2 linked regions of the Cricetulus griseus genome follow. The protein of the gene in region 2 purifies or fractionates together with the protein of the main gene of each other region. This does not show direct contact. Links are inferred from orthologs where the notes say so. Each region holds a gene or a part of one and is shown on either strand. Other genes may lie near its edges.

Evidence for each region.
Region 1: the proteins of Cdc27 (region 2) and Anapc13 purify together in Homo sapiens (affinity purification with mass spectrometry; 5 studies listed by BioGRID and IntAct, counting the BioPlex papers as one, with this or other methods). This does not show direct contact. The link is inferred for Cricetulus griseus from reciprocal best matches to the Homo sapiens genes CDC27 and ANAPC13.

The regions. Positions count from the first base shown.
Region 1 is NC_048597.1:210,864,748-210,875,068, reverse strand, and holds Anapc13 (anaphase-promoting complex subunit 13), read right to left. Parts: upstream 6,514-10,321; 5' UTR 6,510-6,513; coding exon of another isoform or gene 6,505-6,509; 5' UTR 6,427-6,504; exon of another isoform or gene 6,304-6,426; intron 6,082-6,303; exon of another isoform or gene 5,816-6,081; intron 4,368-5,815; exon of another isoform or gene 4,219-4,367; intron 2,690-4,218; 5' UTR 2,663-2,689; coding exon 2,564-2,662; intron 2,060-2,563; coding exon 1,934-2,059; 3' UTR 1,822-1,933; downstream 1-1,821. Other genes in the region: Cep63 (centrosomal protein of 63 kDa), read left to right, coding at 6,781-6,879, 9,419-9,456. UniProt on the Homo sapiens protein: Component of the anaphase promoting complex/cyclosome (APC/C), a cell cycle-regulated E3 ubiquitin ligase that controls progression through mitosis and the G1 phase of the cell cycle.
Region 2 is NC_048600.1:117,569,133-117,579,427, reverse strand, and holds the start of Cdc27 (cell division cycle protein 27 homolog), read left to right. Parts: upstream 1-3,417; 5' UTR 3,418-3,529; coding exon 3,530-3,556; intron 3,557-3,680; exon of another isoform or gene 3,681-4,367; intron 4,368-10,295. UniProt on the Homo sapiens protein: Component of the anaphase promoting complex/cyclosome (APC/C), a cell cycle-regulated E3 ubiquitin ligase that controls progression through mitosis and the G1 phase of the cell cycle.

The sequences.
Region 1 (10,321 bases), on a different chromosome or scaffold from region 2:
AAAAGGAGGAAGAGAAGGAGGAGGAGGAGGAAGAAGGAAGAAGAAAAGAAGAAGAAGAAGAAGAAGAAGAAGAAGAAGAAGAAGAAGAAGAAGAAGAAGAAGAAGAAGAACTATTTTGTTTCAGAAGCTATGGTGTCTTCACCCTTCAGTTCTTTCATCTTCATTTGCAAGCCAGAACTCTAGTTTTTTAAAAAGTGAGTTTTTGAAATTACCTTAGTTGAAAATTTTATCCCCAGACAATTATCTCTTCTACTAGCCTGTCTTTAGTTATTGAAGGGATGGATGGTGCCATGGGTCTTACTTCCGATGATTCCCAGGCAGGGTCACTGAGGCAGAATGCCTGGGTCAGAGGAAAGCTGCTATAACCAAATTTCTGGCTGAAATTGTGCATGCAGCTCATTTGTTTTGTGATACCCTCTTTTTTCTGAAAGCTATAAAGACAAAGGCCAGTGAGGGGTGAGAATAGATAAGTCTAGTGGGTAAATATGCAGGAGTGTTTTGGCAAATCACCGATTCTTTTTTAAAATAAGATTTATGGGGGCTGGAGAGATGGCTCAGCGGTTAAGAGCACTGGCTGTTCTTCCAAAGGTCCTGAGTTCAATTCCCAGCACTCACATAGTGGCTCACAACCATCTGTAATGAGATCTGGCACCCTCTTCTGGCCTGCAGGCACAACAATGTACATGTAATAAATAAATAAATTTTTAAAAACAACAAATAAATGTCTGTAGAATATTCCCACTTCCTCATTTAAAAAAAGAAAAAAAAGATTTATTTTTATGTGCGTCTTGCCTACATGCACCTCACATGTGCAGCCTCCTCACAGGCCAGAAGAGGGGAAGGGAACCCCTGGAACTGGGGTCATAGACAGGTGTGAGCTAATATGTGAACACCAGGAACTGAACACCAGGAACTGAACCCAGAAAGTGCTCTTAACCACTTGAGCCATCTATCCAGGCTGTTTGTATATAAATACAGTACTGGTCAGCCCATGCAGGGAGTGACACATGCCTTTTATCCCAGCACTCAGAAAGTAGAGGCAGGGGGATCTCTATGTTTGAGACTAGCCTGGTGTACAGAGTGAGTTCCAGGACAGTGAAGGCTACACAGAGAAACCCTGTCTTGAAAAACCAAAATAAACAAAGGAAGTAACTAAGTAAGTACTGGCTACCGGCTCTGAGGTGGTTTATACTTGAAGTGGCTCTGAGATAAGAGAACCATTACTATTCTGAATAAAAGGAGTACTCCATTCAAATGGAGACCCTGGCCAGTGGCCCAAAGGCCACACCCACAGACAGGGAGCAGAGGTAACTAACCATGAACCCAGATAACCACCACCACATGACATCATGCTACTCAGCCCAGTTTTTAGTGGAGTTCTAGGGATCAAACTTTTTAATCTGTACATTTATGCAGAGCCTGAAAATAGCCTGGTGATCTTAGGAGTGAATGCCAGTCACCAGTGAGTGGGGTATCTGCTTGGGGCTCACGCACCTGCGGGCTACCTCCACTCAACGCTTCTCAGGTGTGACACACATACTGGTCTGTGAGTCTCTTTCCGTCTGACTTTCTCTGTGTCTTTCCCACTCATATTTTCAACTCCCTGTGCCAGAGGACACATGGAAGTGGCTGGGAAGTGTTAAACGTTGACTGAAGTGACACTGGAACTAAAGGCAAATGTGACTGGACTGTGTTCAAACACTAGTGAGTGAATGACTAATCGTTGGCTTCGGGAGCCAATAGTCTGCATTCTGAGAAGTCTCAGTTTCTCACTGAGAACATTTTCATGCTGCACTTTGTTGTTAACAAATCAAGCGGGTGCCCATTTTTGAGTGTTGATTTATTATGCAAAGATCTGAATTCGGAGACAGAGAAGAAACATGCTTTATCTACGTATTTTTGAAAACTCCATCCAAGGGAAAGGAACCTAGTGTCAGTTTCCAGCAGGTGGGACGTTCTCATGGAGGCACTGCAAGGCCAGGTCTGTCCACTTCATCTCCTGTTCTTTCACAGACTCTGTGGTGCCGCCGTTGTCCTGCTCAGGCTCTGGAAGCTCGCTCTGAAAGGGAAGGACACCCACAACAACCATGAGTTTTTCTTTCTGTACATTTTTGAGATGGCTCTCATGTAGCCTAGGCTGATCTCAAACTATGTCATCTTGAACACTGCTTTCGCACTGGTAGGGACTGAGCTCAGGGGCCTCACACATGCTACCCAAGCATCCTATCACTATGCCACACTCTCAGCCAATCACCTGGAACTCTCCTAACTTCCTTTGCCTCCCAGGAGCTGGAGTTACAGGTGTGGACCTGGTGTTGACTAGTTACTTCTGAAAACAGAGCACATGGCTCTGAAAATCTGGGCTCCAGCACTAAAATGACCACTAAGGTGGTCATATCAGCTGGTTCTCTGAGCCATGAAGAGATGAACTAGTTGTTCTTCAGAGGCTTCTAGATTTGAAGGATGCCACAGTGTGGATTTCTGGGGCCTAGTATTTCACCTTCCAGCAGCCTCCACACATTTCATCTCTGACTCATTGTCCTGAGCTTGGATCATGACCTACCAGTGGGATTGCAACATCCTCGTATGGTAGCTTGTCTTCCCGCCAAGCGTCATCAATCAAATCCAAGATCCTTCCATCCCGTTGTACCTCACTGTCCATTTTCCTGCAGCTTTGGTCTTGTCAGTTCTGTAGGCCAAAGAGGTCATGATGAGGGTGCAGTATAACCCAGGACCAGGACTCCCCATACTTTTAACTTGAAACTGGTGTTGTTATTGTTGTTTGTTTCTTAACATCACCTCAGGAAAGGCCCATTTTATATGGGTCAGGTGACAACATAAAAGATCACAGTTCTTTCCTCTTCAGCTGACAGATGCTTGATAGTGTGAAGATGCAGTCTAGTTGACAGACAAGTTCCCAGTGTAACAGAGAGCAATACATTTCTGAACAAAGCCCTGGAAGGCCCTTCGTCTAACTGTTGCTTTCTTTACAATCGTATACAGTTTTTCCCTGTTTGTAATGCCTTTGACGAGTCTCATCTCCTGCTCCCCAAGCCCGCCCCCATGATTTGGCACAAATCTCCATCTGCCTTGGCTCACACCTTGGCATGGGAGCATGACCTTGACATGCGAGGTGACACTGAGATGGAATGTGTAAAGTGACCAACCATAGACCAGCTGCTAACCCTTAAACAGGAACAATGTGGGCAGCTGGGCTTACTCAGGAAACCACTTCCTTTCTTAAACAGCAGCCAGCCTGAGCTCTAAAAGTAATATGCCATGATCAACAGTGGCAGCTCCAGGTTCTGTGTCCCTCTGGGCTTCCTCTTCCTCCTCCTCTCTCTTTCTTGTTTTTGCATACAGGTTTCTCTGTGTAGCCCTGGCTGTCCTGGAATCTCTGTAGTTCAGGCTGGCCTTGAACTCACAGAGATCCGCCTGCCTCTGCCTTCTGAATGTTGGGATTATACGTGTGCACCAGAACTGCCCAGCCCTCTTCCTCTTTTTTGAGACAGAGCTTCAAACCCTGTAGCCAAAAGCCTCAGTAAGCTCCTAACCCTCCTGCCTCCACCAGTGGGATGATAGGCATGTGGCATCATATCTGCTTTATGATGCACTGGGAATTGAATCAGGGCTTTTTATGTACTAGTTAAGCACCCTACCAACTGACCTACATCCCCAGCCGAGGCGGGCCCTGCAGTTATCCAGGCAGGGAAGCCAACTGTGAAGAAATGAGAATGAAAACAGGGCTCAGATTGGCTATGGGGAGTCTGATGCCAGTTGGTTTATTCTCAACAAATTTAAATACAGTATAATTTGGAAAAAAGTGTCTCAGTGTAATACAATCCCCAGTGCACAAGGAAGTGTAATTACAACAAAACTTGACTCAGGGTTTATATGAGAAATATATTCATTGGAAGAAATATGTCATTTCTTCCAAGAAGCTGGTTTCTACAGCTAGGCTACCTATATTAGCTTAAGTGCCTAAAAAAGGGTCTGGTCTGGTCTAGGTCTCAGTCATACAGATAGCACAGAGGACATCTGGACTTTTAGCCACCCATGGTGTTGGTTGTGGGTGCTTGGGGGGGGGGTCTCTGGCTAGACAGATAATGTAAGGGTCATTTAGACTATTAGGTTATCTCTGGTCCTGGTTGTGGGAGCTTGATATGGCTGGCCCAACAGATAACACTGATTACCATGCTATTAACCATTTCCAATTACCAGCTTCCTAGAAGGAAGAACAGGTTTTCCATCTTTCCCATTCTAAAGAAAATCCTGCATTCTGAACATTCCTAGTCTCCCTGGAGATCTGTAGGTGCAAGGATCTTGGTGTTGTGTTCCCAACACTCAACCCTCTTCCTCCTAAAAAACAAAACATTTATTTGTGTATGTATATGCGGGAGTCAAAGGACATCTTGGGGTGAATGGTTCTCTTCTTCCACGAGGTGGGTCCCAGAGACTAAACTCAGGTGCCACACTTGGCAGGGAATGCCTTTATGCCACTGAGCTATCTTGCTGGCTCTCTTCAGTGCCTGGTCCGAGAGCTTCCTGACCATAGATGACTCCTCAGTTTTCTCCCGAGACAGCTGCAATAATTCACAAGACTGGTCATCACAAACAAGCCCAACTGTACTCCCTGCCACTAAGTGCCAACCCAAAGCAGGCCTTGAAACTACTAGCACACTGCTCTCTCAGGGACTCCTCTGTTTCTGAGAGAAGGGAGACTCATGTAAAAAACAAGCTTTGGTATTGGAGTCTAACTTTGCCATACAAGTATGTGCTTGCCTCCAACAGTATTCAAGGCAAGCTAGCATTATTCATCTAGTTTGGGGGTGGAGAATGGCTTTTACTTTCAAACATTAAACAGAGGGGGCTTGGGAGACAACTCAGTGGGTAAAGTGCTTGCTCTGCAAGCAAGGATACCCAAATTCAGATTGCTGGTATTCACATAAAAAGCCTGGCACAATGGCATGCACTTCCATCCCAGAGGTGGGAGGCAGAGAGGGGAAGACCTCTGGGAGAGACTGCCAGACAGCTGAACAGAAAGCTCACAGGCTTAGTGAAAGACTCAAAGTGGAAGCGATAAGAGGAACACACTGGTGCTGACCTCTGGCCTCTACACTCACCCCTCACTCCACCTCTAGGCACAAACTTCACTACCATCAAGTCATGCACACACAATGAAGCAAAAGGTGGCCAGTACCTCCTGCCACCTAGGAACCAGGTGACTGCTTATCTTTTTTTTTTTTTTTTTTACACTTAGATTTAACTGCCTCTAGCCAGTGGATAATGCAGAGCTAGCTGCAGAAACGTAAAACTAATCCTTCCTGTCAGTTCCAGCCACACTTCCAGAATCCCACAAGTTTTCTAACTTTCTTGTCACTCCTTTGTTCTTGGAGCTATGTCTTGGGCTACCTTTGACACTTCTCCCACTGATTTTCTCAGGTCTATACAGGTTTTCTGTCCTCCAACGCTTGCTGTTTGCCTTAACTAATCTATGAGAAGTTAGGTCGGCTTTGTGACTGACGGGTAGGGTACTTCTGTCTCCAGTGGTAATGTGTAACAGCTGTACCAATGATTCCCGATCTTTCCACAAGTCGGCCTCAACATTTTGCAACATGTCCCTCTTCTATACGCTTGCAACCCGGCATGCTTTTCATCCACCTCCTGCACGTCTTCATCGGTAATGTTTGGCCATCCTTCCAAACCCAACGCGGATGACAGATCTTTGGGTGGGGCACTCGGGTTCTCCCTTTACATAAACAAAGAAGCAAGCACAGGCGATGCCCAAGCTACGGCCACTGCTCCAATCCCTTACCGCATATTATAACTTCTCCGGGTTACTTAAATATATATTTTTACACGCGTACTCTTCTCTTTTCTAGCGCAATCCTCACGCCCAACACAACTCTCAACTCTCAGGTTGTCTCCTTTAGACCCCAGGCCCTTCTCTTCACCAGTCCCCTAGATCTCTGGGGACAGTGCGTGACAACAGGGGAGCTTATGGCACTGTCCAGACATCTCCTTCTAGCTATTAGACGCGTACGTCTTATGCATTTTCGAAATCGACAGCTTTGTGAATGTATTTCTAAGCTAAAAGCACGGCGCAGACACTAAATTTGGTCCTCACGGGCCACCATCCCGAGTCACGAGACGCAGAGACGGTCGCCGCCGCCGCCGCAGCTTCCGGCCCGAAGGCTGGAGATAGCATATGCGGAAGTGGAAAGGGGAGGTGGAGCGTCGCCAAGCGGGCATCCTTCCGCTCCGCACGGCGTGCAATAAGAAAGTGGCTCTGAAGGTCAGCACCTGCCTGCACTTCTGGAAGCACTGGACGCCCGGAGCCTGGTGCGAACGCGGGGACACTCTGCGAAACCCGGGCCGCCGGCGCGGGAAGGAAGGAAAAAAAAACAAAAAAAAAAAACCCCTTACCCACAGCGCGCGAATCGGCTTCCTCCCGGCCCCGCCCTTTCTCCCGGCCACGTGACCCGCGGCGCCCGCATACCCCGTATGTGGTGAGTCCATCGCTGCTGGGAGGGGAGGGGGCGGGGACGGGGGGGGACGAACGTCAATTGTTGGGCGCGCGCGCCCCCGAGGAACGGCGAGCAGGCCCCGGGTGCGCGCTCCGCCGGGGACGCGCTCCGCCGGGGACGCGCTCTGTAACCGCCTGCGTGCCCCAAAGACCGGCGAGCCGCGGCTTGTTGTGGTGCGGACGCGGCCCTGGCCACCGTGGTGCCGCTAGTTTCCCGGCCGCATGGCCCGCGGCCGCTGTCCGTCGATTCCCACATGCAGCCGGACCCTCTACTGTTTGCCTGCGGCTGCCCGGGCACCGCACCCGTGGGTCTCTCCGACTACTCCATGTGCAGCTCGGTGCCGGCCAGCCAGGTGCTGCGGCCTCGGCGGAGGCGGGCGTGCGGGCGGGCGGGCGGGCTGCGGGCTTTAGGGTCAGCGGCTCAGCGGGAAACCCTGGTGATGTTAGTAGGAGAGGAGCGGAAGCGTGGCGGGAATCGCAGATGGCCTCATGCTTAAAGAAGTCAAGCATCGGGAACCAGATTGGGAGAGTGGAAGTTTGGAAAGGGCAGTTCCATAACGCTTGAACCACGGAGACGCTTGGCAGCGAATCTGGATTGCAAATAGGGCTTTTGCCCTGTAACAAAATCGCGCAGTTAGAGCAGGCTGTTGTCTCATTGGTAGACTTTACCCTTGCCCCAAAATACACCCTCCCTACTCAGCGTCTGCTCTCCCTCCAAGTCAGGGTCTTACTATGAAGCCCCGACTGAGCACGCCTTTAATCCCAGCATTTGGGAGGCAGAGGCAGGTAGATCACTGTGAGTTCGAGGCCAGCCTGGTCTACAAAGCGAGTTCCGGGACAGCCAGGGCTGCTACAAAGTAACGCAGAGAAAACCTGGGGAGGGAGGGGGAGGAGGGGAGAAAAACCCTGACTGGCCAGGAACTCACTATGTAGAACAGACTGTCCTCAAACTCGCAGAAATGGGCCTGCCTCTGCCTCCTGGGTTAAGGACCTGGTGCCACCTCGACTGGCTTTTCTAAGCTGTCTTTCTTGAGGCTAATTTAGATTTTTAAAAATTTATTTAGCAAAGCAGGGTAGGCGCTCAACTTCTCGTATACCTACATTTAGTTTTAATTTTGTATTTAGTTTATATTTTGTATTTAAGTAAAGGATCAATGAATATAAATTATCTTTAGCTATTTACACCTACTCTTCATGGTGTGTGTGTGTGTGTGTGTGTGTGTGTGTGTGTGTGTGTGTGTGTAATAGCCCTAGCTGTCCTGGAACTCGCCTTACAGACCAGGCTGGCCTCGAACTCAGATCCACCTGCGTCTGCCTCCCGAGTGCTGGGATTAAAGGCATGCACCACCATGACAAGCTACACTTACTGTTAAAGTCTGTAGCTTAATGTATAACAAAACAAGTTTTCTTATTTGGAATTCAGCACCATCTTTAGGTTAATTTTTGTCCCATGTTCTTTGTCTTTTATTGATCAGTAAAGGAGGCTGTAAAACTAAAATGGGTTAAATGGGTTAGAGATTTACAAACTCACATACACAGCCATTTAAAATGTGTGCATACTGAAGTTTTTTTTTTTTTTTTTAAAGATTTTATTATGTATACAACATTCTGCTTCCATGTATATCTGCACACCAGAAGAGGGCACCAGATCTCATAACAGATGGTTGTGAGCCACCATGTGGTTGCTGGGAATTGAACTCAGGTCCTCTGGAAGAGCAGTCGGTGCTCTTAACTGCTGAGCCATCTCTCCAGCCCGAATACTGAAGTTTTAAGGACAATATAGATATTATTAATTATGACAATGTTGCTTCCTCCCATGGAGCAGTAGAGGACCGTTACTTAGCCTTTCTGCTCTCACCTACTGTGTATGAGCTGACAGTGACAGCATTAGTCCAAACTGTCATAGCTAATATGCTCCCCACCCCATGGCTGTCATAGCTAAGATGCTTCCCATGCCAAGGGCTAGATTTGCTTTTATAAAACCATAGTACTACTTTTATAGCAGTACAAATTTGTAAAAAAAATACACAATGTCAGTATCCAGTGGGATCAGGTTTCTCCAGCTACTCCACATGTGCTTGCAATACCTTGTTTGGATCAAAATTCTGCAGAGAACTGTCTGCTTCATTGGTTTGCCAGGCATTTAAATCCTCTAGCAATAGCTGCTTCTTAACCTCCCATTCCTCTTTACCATTTAAAAATTAGCTGGTTGTGTGTAGTTTTGAACACTCGTCTCTACTTCACCTATGACCTCTACTCCACTGGCTGAATCCTGAGTTACACTGTCCAGTATGGTCGTCATCAGATAGCCGTGCTGTTTTAAATGAAATAAATAATTGGTTCCCCAGTTGCATTAGTCACCTTTGAAACACCCAGCAGTCACAGGTTGCCTAGTGGCTGCTGCTTGAGTAATACAGATAAAAATGTTTCCATAATCACAGAAAGTTCTGTTGAAATACAGTGATCAGAAGTGTTAGATTCAACTTTTTTTTTTTTTTTTTTGATAGGAAGTGCAAGAAAAAAAGCCATAGGTGTAGGTTCTATATTATGAAAATTATCTGTTGCATTCATTATCAGGGTGACATTTAATGTCTGAGTCATCCTATCTGGGATGTTACAGTTGAGCTGTGTAGAGTGGTTCCTGTGCTATCAGTTCAGCTGACCCACCATGAAATTGTTCAAGAGCCTTTCAGTTAATAGGGATACCTTTCTTTCATGGCTAGCAGTGCCTGGGTCTGTTACTGCACCACAGCCACAGAGTGGTGGTTTCTAATTGTGTCTTGTCTGGCACTTTGCTGAAGAACTTGCCTCCCATAACTGTCTGACTGCCCTGAAATACAGTTGGGACAGGAATGGCAAGAAAAATGCTTAACTCTGTTCCTTTCTTTTCAGACTACAGCAATGACTTGGTGGCCTGGCAACCTTCAAAGGTAACCTGAAGGCTTTACCTTTAAAACCAACAGATAGACTTTAATATGTTTAAAACTGTGGCCTAGCAACCTCCTGAGTTAACCTGAGGGCTTTGCCTTTAAAAACAAACCATTAGACTTTAATGTGTTTAAACTGTTAGAACATACTGCAATTTTTTTGATACCTCAAATTGTTTTGTTTTTAGCCAGTGGGAACCCTTCAAGACCCATAGTTTTGATAGCTTCCTTCTTCTGGTTTTGCTTTAGTTGGGTTTTATATAGCCCAGGCTGGCCTTGAACTTGCTCTGTAGCCAAGGTTGATCTTGAACTTATGATCTTCCTGCCTCCATTTCCCAAGTGCTAGGATTACGGATGTGAGCGCCATGTCCAGCTCAGTACTGCTTCTTTTCCTTTTTATGTGTGAGTTATCAAAACATCATCATAGTCCCTATAAAACAACATAAATCCAGACTTGCGGGGAGCAGCTTGGCTTTAGCCCCATCTCCTCTGCCTTGATTGTTCCTCTCCTCATAGGTGTAGTGCTTCTCAGTTTGTTCTCAGTAAATAAGTACTCCAAGACAAACACACTTCTTTTTACTGTTTGTATCTTGCTGCTTTTACCTTCTAACAGATCACTCCACAAGGGACGTTGTGACTGTTACCTCTTTTTACAGCTTCATAGTATTCCCTCAGTGAATGAATGTATAGTGATTTTTTGTTGTTTATAAGTAATGCTGCAGGGAATGCCCTTTATACACCTCGTTTTGTATTTTTCCAGTAAGTAAGACTAAGCATCTTTTCATTAAAATAAGGCCATTTGCTTTCCCTTTTCTGTTGACTGACTGTTCCTATACCCATTTTCCTATAGCTATCTTAAAAAAAAAAA
Region 2 (10,295 bases):
GGGTGTGCTCTAAGCTGTTTCCCGAAGGACCCGACTACTGTGTCTGGCTTTCTTTCTTTGCTTGGTTTCTTGATACAGGGTCTCCTGTAGCCCAGGCTGGCCTCTGAGTTGCTATGTAGCCAATGATAACTTTGTACTCCTGATTCTCCTGTCTCCAACTCTCGGGTATATGGAGGTCTCCAGTGTTATTTCCAAGCACTATCCACCTTGGTGGGAATTTTTTGTTTGTTTTGTTGGGGTTTTGGTTAGGTTTGGTTTGGATTTTTTAATTTTTTGTTTCTTTTGAGGGGGACGGTGGTTTGGTTTGGTTTTTATTTCAGAGACCAGGTATCACCATACAGCCCTGTCTCACCTAGGCTATATAGAACACCCTAACCTGAAACTCACAGGGTTCTGCCTGCCTCTGCCTCCCTGGTGCTAGTATTAAAGGCATATACAGTCATGCCTGGCTCCACCTTCGTTTTTTTTTTTTTTTTTTTTTTTTTTTTTTTTTTTTTTTTTTTTTTTTTTTTGGCACAGGGCTTCACATTGACTTGGAGACTAAGCTGGCTGGCCAGTGAGTTCCAGTGATATGCCTGTCTCTGTGGCCCCAGCCCTGGGATTGTAATTGTGTGCCATGAGTCCTAGGGACTAAACTCAGGTCTTCATGCTTATAAGACAAGCTCTTACTGACTGAGCTAGCTCTCTAGCCCCAGATGTTCTTGTTCTTTTCTTTTTTTTGGGGGGGGGGGGGACAGGAGCTTTGGAAAAATGAGATTCTAAGCTCAAAATCCACCTCCTCTGTGGTAAATCTACAATAGGTTTACAAAACTCCAATATATAAGTCAAGACTTGAGTTGATACACCTTATGTGACAGAAGAGCTCAGTGTATAAAAGTAACCACAAATGCAACATTAATCATGTTGTGTGGTTGCTACAGCATGCAAACACAGCTTTGGGTTGTTTTAACACAGCTTTGGATTGTTTTAATAAATGTTTCCAAATAATTAATAATCAGTGATGGTTCATCTTGATGGCAACAGGACAGGATTTAAAGTAACCGGACCATGGAAATGAGCCTCTGGGAATGTCTGGGAGGGAGTTTTTTTCTTTCTTTCTTTTTTTTGGTTTTTTTTTTTTTTTTTTGGTTTTTTTGTTTGTTTGTTTTTGTTTTTTTTGTTTGTTTGTTTTGTTTTTCGAGACAGGGTCTCTCTGTGGCTTTGGAGCCTATCCTGGCACTTGCTCTTGTAGACCTGGCTGGTCTCTAACTCACAGAGATCCACCTGCCTCTGCCTCCCGAGTGCTGAGATTAAAGGCGTGCACCACTGCCACCACCACCCAGCCAGACTCCATTTCCAAGGATGGCTGGAGCTGATGGGGGACCTCAATGGTAGTGTTTGCCTAGCATTTGCAAAATTATGGGGGTGGGGAGAAATCAATGTACCAGGTGGTGGTGGGGGATCAAAGATGACCCACCAATCCCTCTCATTGCGCATATCTTTTGCAGAGTTGCTTTGCTATTCCCTCATCAAGAGATGGAGCATGTTTTCCTGGTAAATCCAGGCTGATCCTGTGTCTTAAATTGACCAACAATGGATTTGACTTTCAGATCTAGGCTTGAAGGGGCCTCAAAGCTTCTGTTTTCACTGACTTGCTTGACAGACACCAATTCAAGCTAGGATAGGCCACTGACTGGTGAGCAATCACTGTATGAAGAAAAAGGTTTTGTTGGGGAGAATCGAGAGGCCCAGATATTAGCAAGACCTTAGACTCACGGGTAAAGTTGTCCTCCAATTCTAGCTATTTCAATAACAACTCTAGTTATGTCAATGACTTAGGTCTTTGGGATGTGACTAGAATATCTGAAGAATTTCATTTGGTTTAAACTGAACTTTAAATAGTGAGCAACTGTTATATAGGCCAGCACGGATGTTTATTCCCACTCTAATTCATCCAACACAATCCCATTAAAAGAACAGGGCATGGGCCGGCTGGAAATTGCCTTAGCACCCATCTTTCATGGGACTAACAAGTATGTAGGCAATGTCTGGAGACAGTTGGATCTATTAGAAGGAAAGGGGGACGAGGAAAAGGATGGCTACCATTAGATGACTAACCCCCAGCATCTCTAAAATGACAATGCTAACTGTATCATCTGTACACAATGTGGAAATGAGGGGCTGGGGGACTGAGATTGATTGATTCCCAGAACCAGGACTGGTGCCAGCGGTAGTCTGAGAGGCTGAGGCAGGTTTTAAAAGTTCAAAGACAGCCTGGGTACCTTCAATACTTTAAAATAAAAACAAAACAAAAAAAAGTAACAAGAGGGCTGGAGATGTAGCTCAATTGTTGATCACTTGCTTAGCCTACCAGTAATGAGAGGTTAGATCCTCAGTATCCAGGGGAAAAAGGAGATTTCCAGTTTCACATCTAGCTCAGAGGAGTCCCAACAGAAAGTTAACTTTCAGAAGCTTTCCTTGTCTGACGAAAAGGGAGATTTTAATAGTTCCTTTGTTTATTCTGAGGATGTGGCCAAAAAGCAGACATTAAACCCTCTGTTAGTGTTTGTAACTACAGCCATCATTTAAATCCCTATTTCCCTATTTACTTCCCTCTTCTCTGAAGTTGAAGTTTTACATCACCCAGAACAAGTTGCAAATAACGAAATTCTCAGTTACACTGATTTTTTTTTTTTCAATTATGAGCCAGGGTGTCAGGTAGCCCAAGCTTGCCTCAAACTCGCTATCTTGTTCTTAATTATCCTGTACTCTAGATACTTCTGCGTCCGCCTCCCAAAGCAGGAGAGCAATGTTTAGGTGACACTGGCGATCACCCCTAGGGCTTCATGCATGCTAGGCAAGTACACAGCCTAGGCGTTTTTGTTTGCAACAGACCGTATCTCTTTGAATACAGGAATCCTATATATTTGGGGAATGGCAATGTTCCAATTATCCCTCGATTTTCCTCAGAGGCCTGAGTAGGAATTCCAGGAGTGGATAATGACCTAAACTCAAAAGACTTTATTGAATTCAGCCCCAGACTAGTATTTTACCCCTCGCTGAATCTACCGTGCACAACAGGGAACGGCGGAGGCGCTTACCCCGACCAACAGTCCCACAGGTAACTCCGGCCGGCCGGATCCCTCCCTCCAGGCCCATCCTACTAGTAGCTCTTTGGGCGTGGCCCAGCTAGCGTGGCCAATTGGGCGTGGCGTGCGTAGGGCGAAGGCGTGGCTGAGAAGAGGAACTTCCGATTGGGCCCAACCCAACAACTTCCGGTAGCACTCGCCAATTTCCGGCCACAGACTCCGCCTCCGGAGGCTCACCTCGAGTATTTCCGACATCTCTCGGGCTTTTCCGTCTCGCTCTCGTTTGGCTCTCTCCACTTCGGGTATTTCCGTGTCACGCTCGGAGGAGTTCGGCAACCACTCGGCCTCCCCCATCCCCCGGTAACGGTCGCTGGTGAGTTTAAATGAGCCGGGGCTGGCCGGGCCGGAGTCGCTACGGGGGGGGCCTGAGGCACTGCAGAAAGTGGGCCTGAGCCTCAAGGATGACGGTGCTGCAGGAACCTGTCCAGGTAATACTAGCGCCTGCTCCGAGGCCTGGCGCCATGCCTGGGTCGCAAGCGGCGAGCAGCCACTCCGCGGCCTGCTGCGGCCTAGGCCCCGCTTCTCCCGCCTCCCTTTCGGCGAGCCCCCTACCTGTCTTTCGTCACTCCCGAGGCCTTGCCCGCGGCCTCAGCCGAGGTTAGCCCCGGCCCCGCATTACTTCTCGCCTGTTGTGCCAGCCGGGTTCGGCGGGAATCACTCGTTTCCGTCGGTCCTGGCGTCCGGCCATCCCCCTCTTGTTGGTCTGGGTTCCTGCCCGCGGTGGGAGACGAGGGGCCGCCCGAGACGGCGCTCCGAGTGCTCGGCGTCCCGGGGGTCGACACAGAAGCGCTTTTGAGCCGAGCTGGTGGGATTTCACACCCGTGGGGCAAGTTTACTGGTGTTTCCTTGCTTTTGTTTTACGTGAGGTGGTCGAAGGAAGACGTAAAATTACCCGTATTTTCGGTACTGGTTTTCGTTTCGGGAGCAGACTTTCTTGTCCACGTTACAGTTCTCCGTGGATTTCCCACCGGACAATGACGACCTGAGAAGGGAACTCCCAGGCCCACTGCTGCGGGGCAAACACCCCAGCAGGGGAGTGGACGAAAGGGCAGGTCTGGATTTTTTCCATCACCTAGGATGGGTATCAGGAGGCATTTTACCGTGCTGATTTAGAAGGTGTTTAGGAAATTAGAGATAATTGCTTTCCCATCCATTTCACCATTCGTCCATTCCTTAACCACACCAAGGTATGCATTGACGCACACGGTGCTGTTGTCAGAAGAAAGCCTATTGGGTTTTGAAGTATGTGATGCAGTGCCAAGTCATTTTCCCCCCTGCCACATCTGAAGAAACTGAACCTATTGTCCTTTGGTGGTGGACCAGGTTTGGGAGATGTTTCATTCCACCGTATGATCTTTGACATGACCACAGTTGGCCTCCATTAAATTACAATCATTAAGCCATAAGCTATTTTGAAGTTATAAATCAAACCGATTTTAGAAATTGCTGCGAATTGCCTTAGGTAAGACTGACAACAAATATTTAATATTTCAGTACGTCAGTACAGCATTTCCTTAATGTCTCATCGCAGCCTAAAATACGGTTTCCCTAGTTGAACTTCATCTCCAGATGTTTACATGGTGACAGCTATTAGTATTTGAATTAATATAATTCTGGATTATATCTTCGGAACTGTACATAAAACATATGTTTGTATGTTTTTTGTTTTATTTTTTTTGTTTTATTTTGTTTTTCAAGACAGGGTTTCTCTGTGGCTTTGGAGGCTATCCTGGAACTAGCTCTTGTAGACCAGGCTGGTCTCGAACTCACAGAGATCTGTCTGCCTCTGCCTCCCGAGTTCTGGGATCAAAGGCGTGGGCCACCACTGCCCAGCCCATGTCTCTGTATGTTGTATCAATTCTTCCAAAGCTGCATTTCTTTCCAGATTTCTCTTCCTAGTGTAGAGTCCCTTAAAAGGCCCTTTTGAGGCCTAACATGAAATTAAACGGATAAGGAGGTTATTCAGATAATTAGTTTTTATTTCATATTGTAGTTTTGTCTTACTTTTCTGCTTTTCTGGAGCCAGAAGGCTTCTAAAGTGATATGATAGTTTACAGCATGTAAACTACTACTTAAAAATTTTTAACTTCTAGAAAACCATGAGAGTGTAGAATACATTGTTTAAGCAAGATAGAATCCAGCAGGTTTCCTGTTTGTTTTTAAAGTACTGTGGAATTTACCTCCCTCTCCTCCATAATAACTTTTTCCATTAGATTTTAGGGTAATTGTAAGAAGTTTTGGGGTGTGAGGGGATGAGAATAATTTATAGTTGGCCGGAGGATCAGGAGTTCAGGGTCATCCTTGGCTACAGAGCAAGTTCAAGGCCAACATGGGCTATCTGAAACCCTGTCTCAAAAAAAACAAAAAACAAAAACAAAATAACAACAAAAGGAGCAGTTAGCAGTGGGAGAAATTAGCTAACTTTGAGCAGGAATGCTGTTGAAAATGAGAAAGAGCTAGTATGAAAGAAAAAAGTAAAGAGATGCTAAGATAATTGTTTTAAGAATTGTTCATTCCATATATCAGGATGAAAATAGTGTTGAGAATATTTTCTTTACTTTGTTCCTGGTGATCTAGGCACAGGAAAAAGTTGACAGAAATAATGCACAACTATTTGTTCCTACCCCCCTCCTTAAAATTTTTACCCAGTGAAATGTGCCATATAGACTTAAATATAAGCCCCTCCCCAAGTTAGCACTCATAGAAAAAACATTGCTTTATATTTGAGTCTTCTGTTTTTTGAGACAGGGTTTCTCTGTGGGACAGTTCCAAGCTGTCCTGGAACTTTCTCTGTAGACCAAGCTGGCCTCGAACTCACTTGAGATCCACCTGCCTCTGCCTCCCAAGTGCTGGAATTACAGGCACCTGGCTTTATATTTGAGTCTTTACAAAATAATCTTTGATATTTCAAAGCACAGATTGATTTTTGTGGCAGTCTCACTGTGTAGCCCTGGCTGGGATTAAAGGCATTCACAGTACTAATTTGGGTGCCTGTAAAAGTGGCATTTTTTTGTTGGTATGGTGTCTTGTTTAACTTTCATTTACTGTGTGTACATGTGTGTGTCAGTCAGTCTTGGTGACAAGTATCTTTATCCTCTGAGCCATTTCACTGAAAGCTGTTGTTGTTTTAAGAGGCAGGTGTTTTATATAGCTGCATCAATTGATAAAGCTGTATCAATTATTGCTGTAAGTGAAGCTTCACAGATGTATTGGATGAAATTGTAGACAAGCCTTTTGAAAATGATTTTACTGTGCAATAGAGGAACTAGATGGAAGAACCTTGCATGCTAATCTGCATCTGAAACTCCAACTAGAGGCAGGAAGATAAGGAGTTCAAGGTCTGCCTGAGCTACATAAATCCATGTCTCAAAAACCAAAACAAAATAAAGGAGTTTGGGTATTATCCATCCATAATTCATGTCATCCTTTTAGAGGTTTTTTGTTGTTGTTGTTGCTTTTTTTGTTTGTTTTGTTTTTTCGAGGCAGGGTTTCTCTGTGGCTTTGGAGGCTGTCCTGGAACTAGCTCTTGTAGACCAGGCTGGTCTCGAACTCACAGAGATCCTCCTGCCTCTGCCTCCCGAGTGCTGGGATTAAAGGCGTGCGCCACCAACGCCCAGCTTAGAGTTTTATTTAATAGTGAAAGAGTACTTTTGACTTGGGATAAGATGTCCCCAAGTGTCACCTAATAATGTTTCAAAGAGTACCATACTATGGCTGCTACGTGAGAAGCATCATGGTCAAGAGAAGCCTGTCGTCTTAGAAGCAAAGGTATCTAGAGTAGCAGTGGAACAGGAAAAGGGTAGATAAAGGTTTTAGAGGTAGAAATTCAGGAAATAACTTGGAAAGTAGAACCATTGAAACATGGGGAGGGGATTGTCTTCCTGGAGTTGGTATCAAAAATGACTGCCTGAATTTTATTTCAGTGGTGCTGTTTAAAAAATGAAAAATCCAGCTGCTTGTGATGACACATGCCTTTTGATCTCAGCACTTGTGAGGCTTGTAAGGTCAAGGCAGGTAGATCTCTGTTCGTCCAAGGCCAGCCTGTCTACATAGTGAATTCAGGCTAGCCAAGGCTGCATAGTGAGATGCTGTGTCAAAACAATTCATAGCTCCCCCAAGCTAAAACTAATTCCCTAGAAAAATAATAAATGCTTTTCTACCAGATAGGATTGGGGCAGATTCAAAAGAAGACATTTAAGAATTCTGTTTTGGCCTGGTGGTGATGAACACCCTTAATCCCAGCACTTGGAAAGCAGAATCAGGCAGATCAGCCTGGTCTACAGAGTGAGTTTCAGGACAGCCAGTGCTACACAGAGAAACCCTGTCTCAAAAAAAAAAAAAAAAAATATGTTCTGTTTTGAAGAAAAGAAGTTGGAAATAACTTGTGAAACTATGGAGACATAATTCCTCATCTTGGGTTCTAGTCCTGAGAACATGAAGAATGATTAGCAGGAACAATTGGATGTTAACTATGCATTTAATTACATAGATACTAATAAAGGAATTCAGGAAAGAGAGAGCTTTGTAGGTCAGAAAAAAAAATGGGGACTGGCTTTTTGAGCAATTAGAATTTGAAACCTAAGAAATTAAAAAAGAGGAGGTGTATTCTTGACTTGAAATTGCATGAGCAACAGCCCAAAGTTTAGAGTATCACTTAGAACAGTAAAATATTCTTTTTTTTTTTTAAGGAAGTTTTTGTTTTTAATGTTTTCCCTTATTAATTATGGCAAGTTCATTTCTTAACTGGGACAAAAACTATTTTGGGGGGATTCTGACCTGTGAAAATATTGTATTCTTAACTAGACTAGAAGTTGAAAACAGAAGTTTTTGACTAGCCAGAATCAAATTACAGGAGACTCAGCATTTAAGCTGAAAGGTTTAGATTTAGTGTATTAATAATAAATCTTGGGCTAGCTTTGTACTCCCTTCTAGTGCAGGCAGGCCTATGACTTACTATCCTCTTGTCTCTGCTTCTGGAGTGCTGGGATTACAAACTTGTACCACTACCCCAGGCTGCAAGAAAATTTTGATAGAATTAGTAATGAAAGCAGTGTGAGCCAGGCGGTGGTGGTGCACACCTTTAATCCCAGCACTCAGGAGGCAGAGGTAGGTGGATCTCTGTGAGTTCCAGGACAGCCTCCAAAGACACAGAGAAACCCTGTCTCGAAAAAACAAACAAAACACAAGCAAACAAACAAAAGCAGTGTGTTGGGAATAGTGATGTGATTTTGTTGGTAAGGAGGAAAAGACAAGTTCGGTACATAGACTAGTAGGATGACCCAGCTGCATAGTAATGTGGATCAGGTTTTTAAATTTTGTCAGGACTGATTTTTTTTTTTTTTTTTTTTGGAGAAAGTGGATTGGGTTACGTGGGTATTAAGGAGTGTTTTACTGCATCTCTATTTACCAGATGCCTTCTCCGTTTAAAATAGTCCAAAATGCCCCCCATCAGACATGGCTAAATGTGGGATCAGAGAACCACCTAGATAAAGAACCATCATATAGAGTCGGATATGGTGACAACATGCCTGAAATCCCATCACTTGGGAGTTTAAGGCCTGTGTCGTAAGTTTTGAGATCAGCCTTGGCAAAATGAGACCCTGCTTCAAAAGCAGAAATATAAAACAACCAATCAGATAAGTAAAGACTAGAGTTACAGAATTTAGATGATAATTTCTACAATGACATTTTTTTGTTAGGGTTCTTTCCTCTTTCCTCTCTTTTTCCCTCTACCCTCCCTCCCTCCCTTTCTTGTACCTTACATTGTATGAAGCTAGCTTTTCTGGTCTTGAAATAAGCTTTGCTTTATTTCATACATTCATTCATTCAGTCAGTCAGTCATTCAGTCCGTCACAGGTATTTAAATCTGAGTACAGTTTACATTTTAAGTATTGAGCTGGGTGTGGTGGGGCATGCTTGGAATCCCAAGACTTGGGAAATGGAAGCAGGACTGTGAATTTGAAGCCAGCCTAGGTAGTGAGAATCTGTCTTAAAATGTACGAATAAGCCGGGTGGTGGTGGTGGCGGCGCATGCCTTTAGTCCCAGCACTCGGGAGGCAGAGACAGGTGGATCTCTGTGGATTCCAGGACAGCCTCCAAAGCCACAAAGAAACCCTGTCTCAAAAAACATATATATATATATATATATATATATATATTATATATATATCATCGGTTGTGGCAGTGCAAGTCTGTAGTCCTAGCATGTGAGAGGCAAAGGCAAGCAAATAAAGAGTTCAAAGGCATTCTCTACTACATAACAACTTTGAGGCAGTTTGTGCAGTGGGGATCTTTTTTTTCTTTTTCTTTTTTTCTCCAAAACCTCCCTTTTGGGTCTCCTCCTTGGCTGTTGGCTCACATGGAACTGGATCCAACAGGTGGTTGTGAGCTGCTCCATGTGGGCCTTGTAAACTAAACTTGAATCCTCAGGAAGAGCAGCAAGTGTTTTTCACTGTTGAACCATCTCTCCAGCTCCCCTGTTCTCTTCTTAATAAGTTGTAGACACACCCTTTCTCCATCTCCTCGTAGTAGTTGTGAGAATCTTCACCTAACCTGTACTTATTTTATTTTTTAAACTACTACCCTCCCCCAAAAAAAAGTTTGGTATTATCAGAATAGATGGTAGGACTAGGGAAATGACTCAGTCAGCAAAAGGAATTGCTACACAAGCATGAGGACCTGAAATTGGATTGCTAGCAAACTGCAAAAAAAACCAAGTATAGTTGAGCTTCCTAGCTCAAAAAAAACCAAGTATAGTTGAGCTTCCTAGCTCAAAAAAAACCTCAGCAAGTTCCAGGTTTGTCTCAAGAGGAAAAGGCGGAACAGGATAGAGAAGGACACTGATGTCTTCCTCTGGCCTCTGCACATCCACACACATGTGGACAAATGTGCATACAGGGTACAGCTAAAAAAGTTGTTTGTTTTTAAAGATGGAGAGCAACTGAAGAAGACACTTGACAGACATTAGCCTCTGGCCTCCACACACATGTATACGTGGACCAAAATGTTCACAAAGATTACGTAGCAAGTAAGAAGTTACAGCTTTATGCTACTAGTTCATGTTTTATATGAATGCAGTCCAGGATTAGATCATTAATTTCCTCATTGGAATGTCTCCTACACATTTTGTTGGAAAGGAAGGAGAGAATGCTGCTGTTTGGCTTCCTA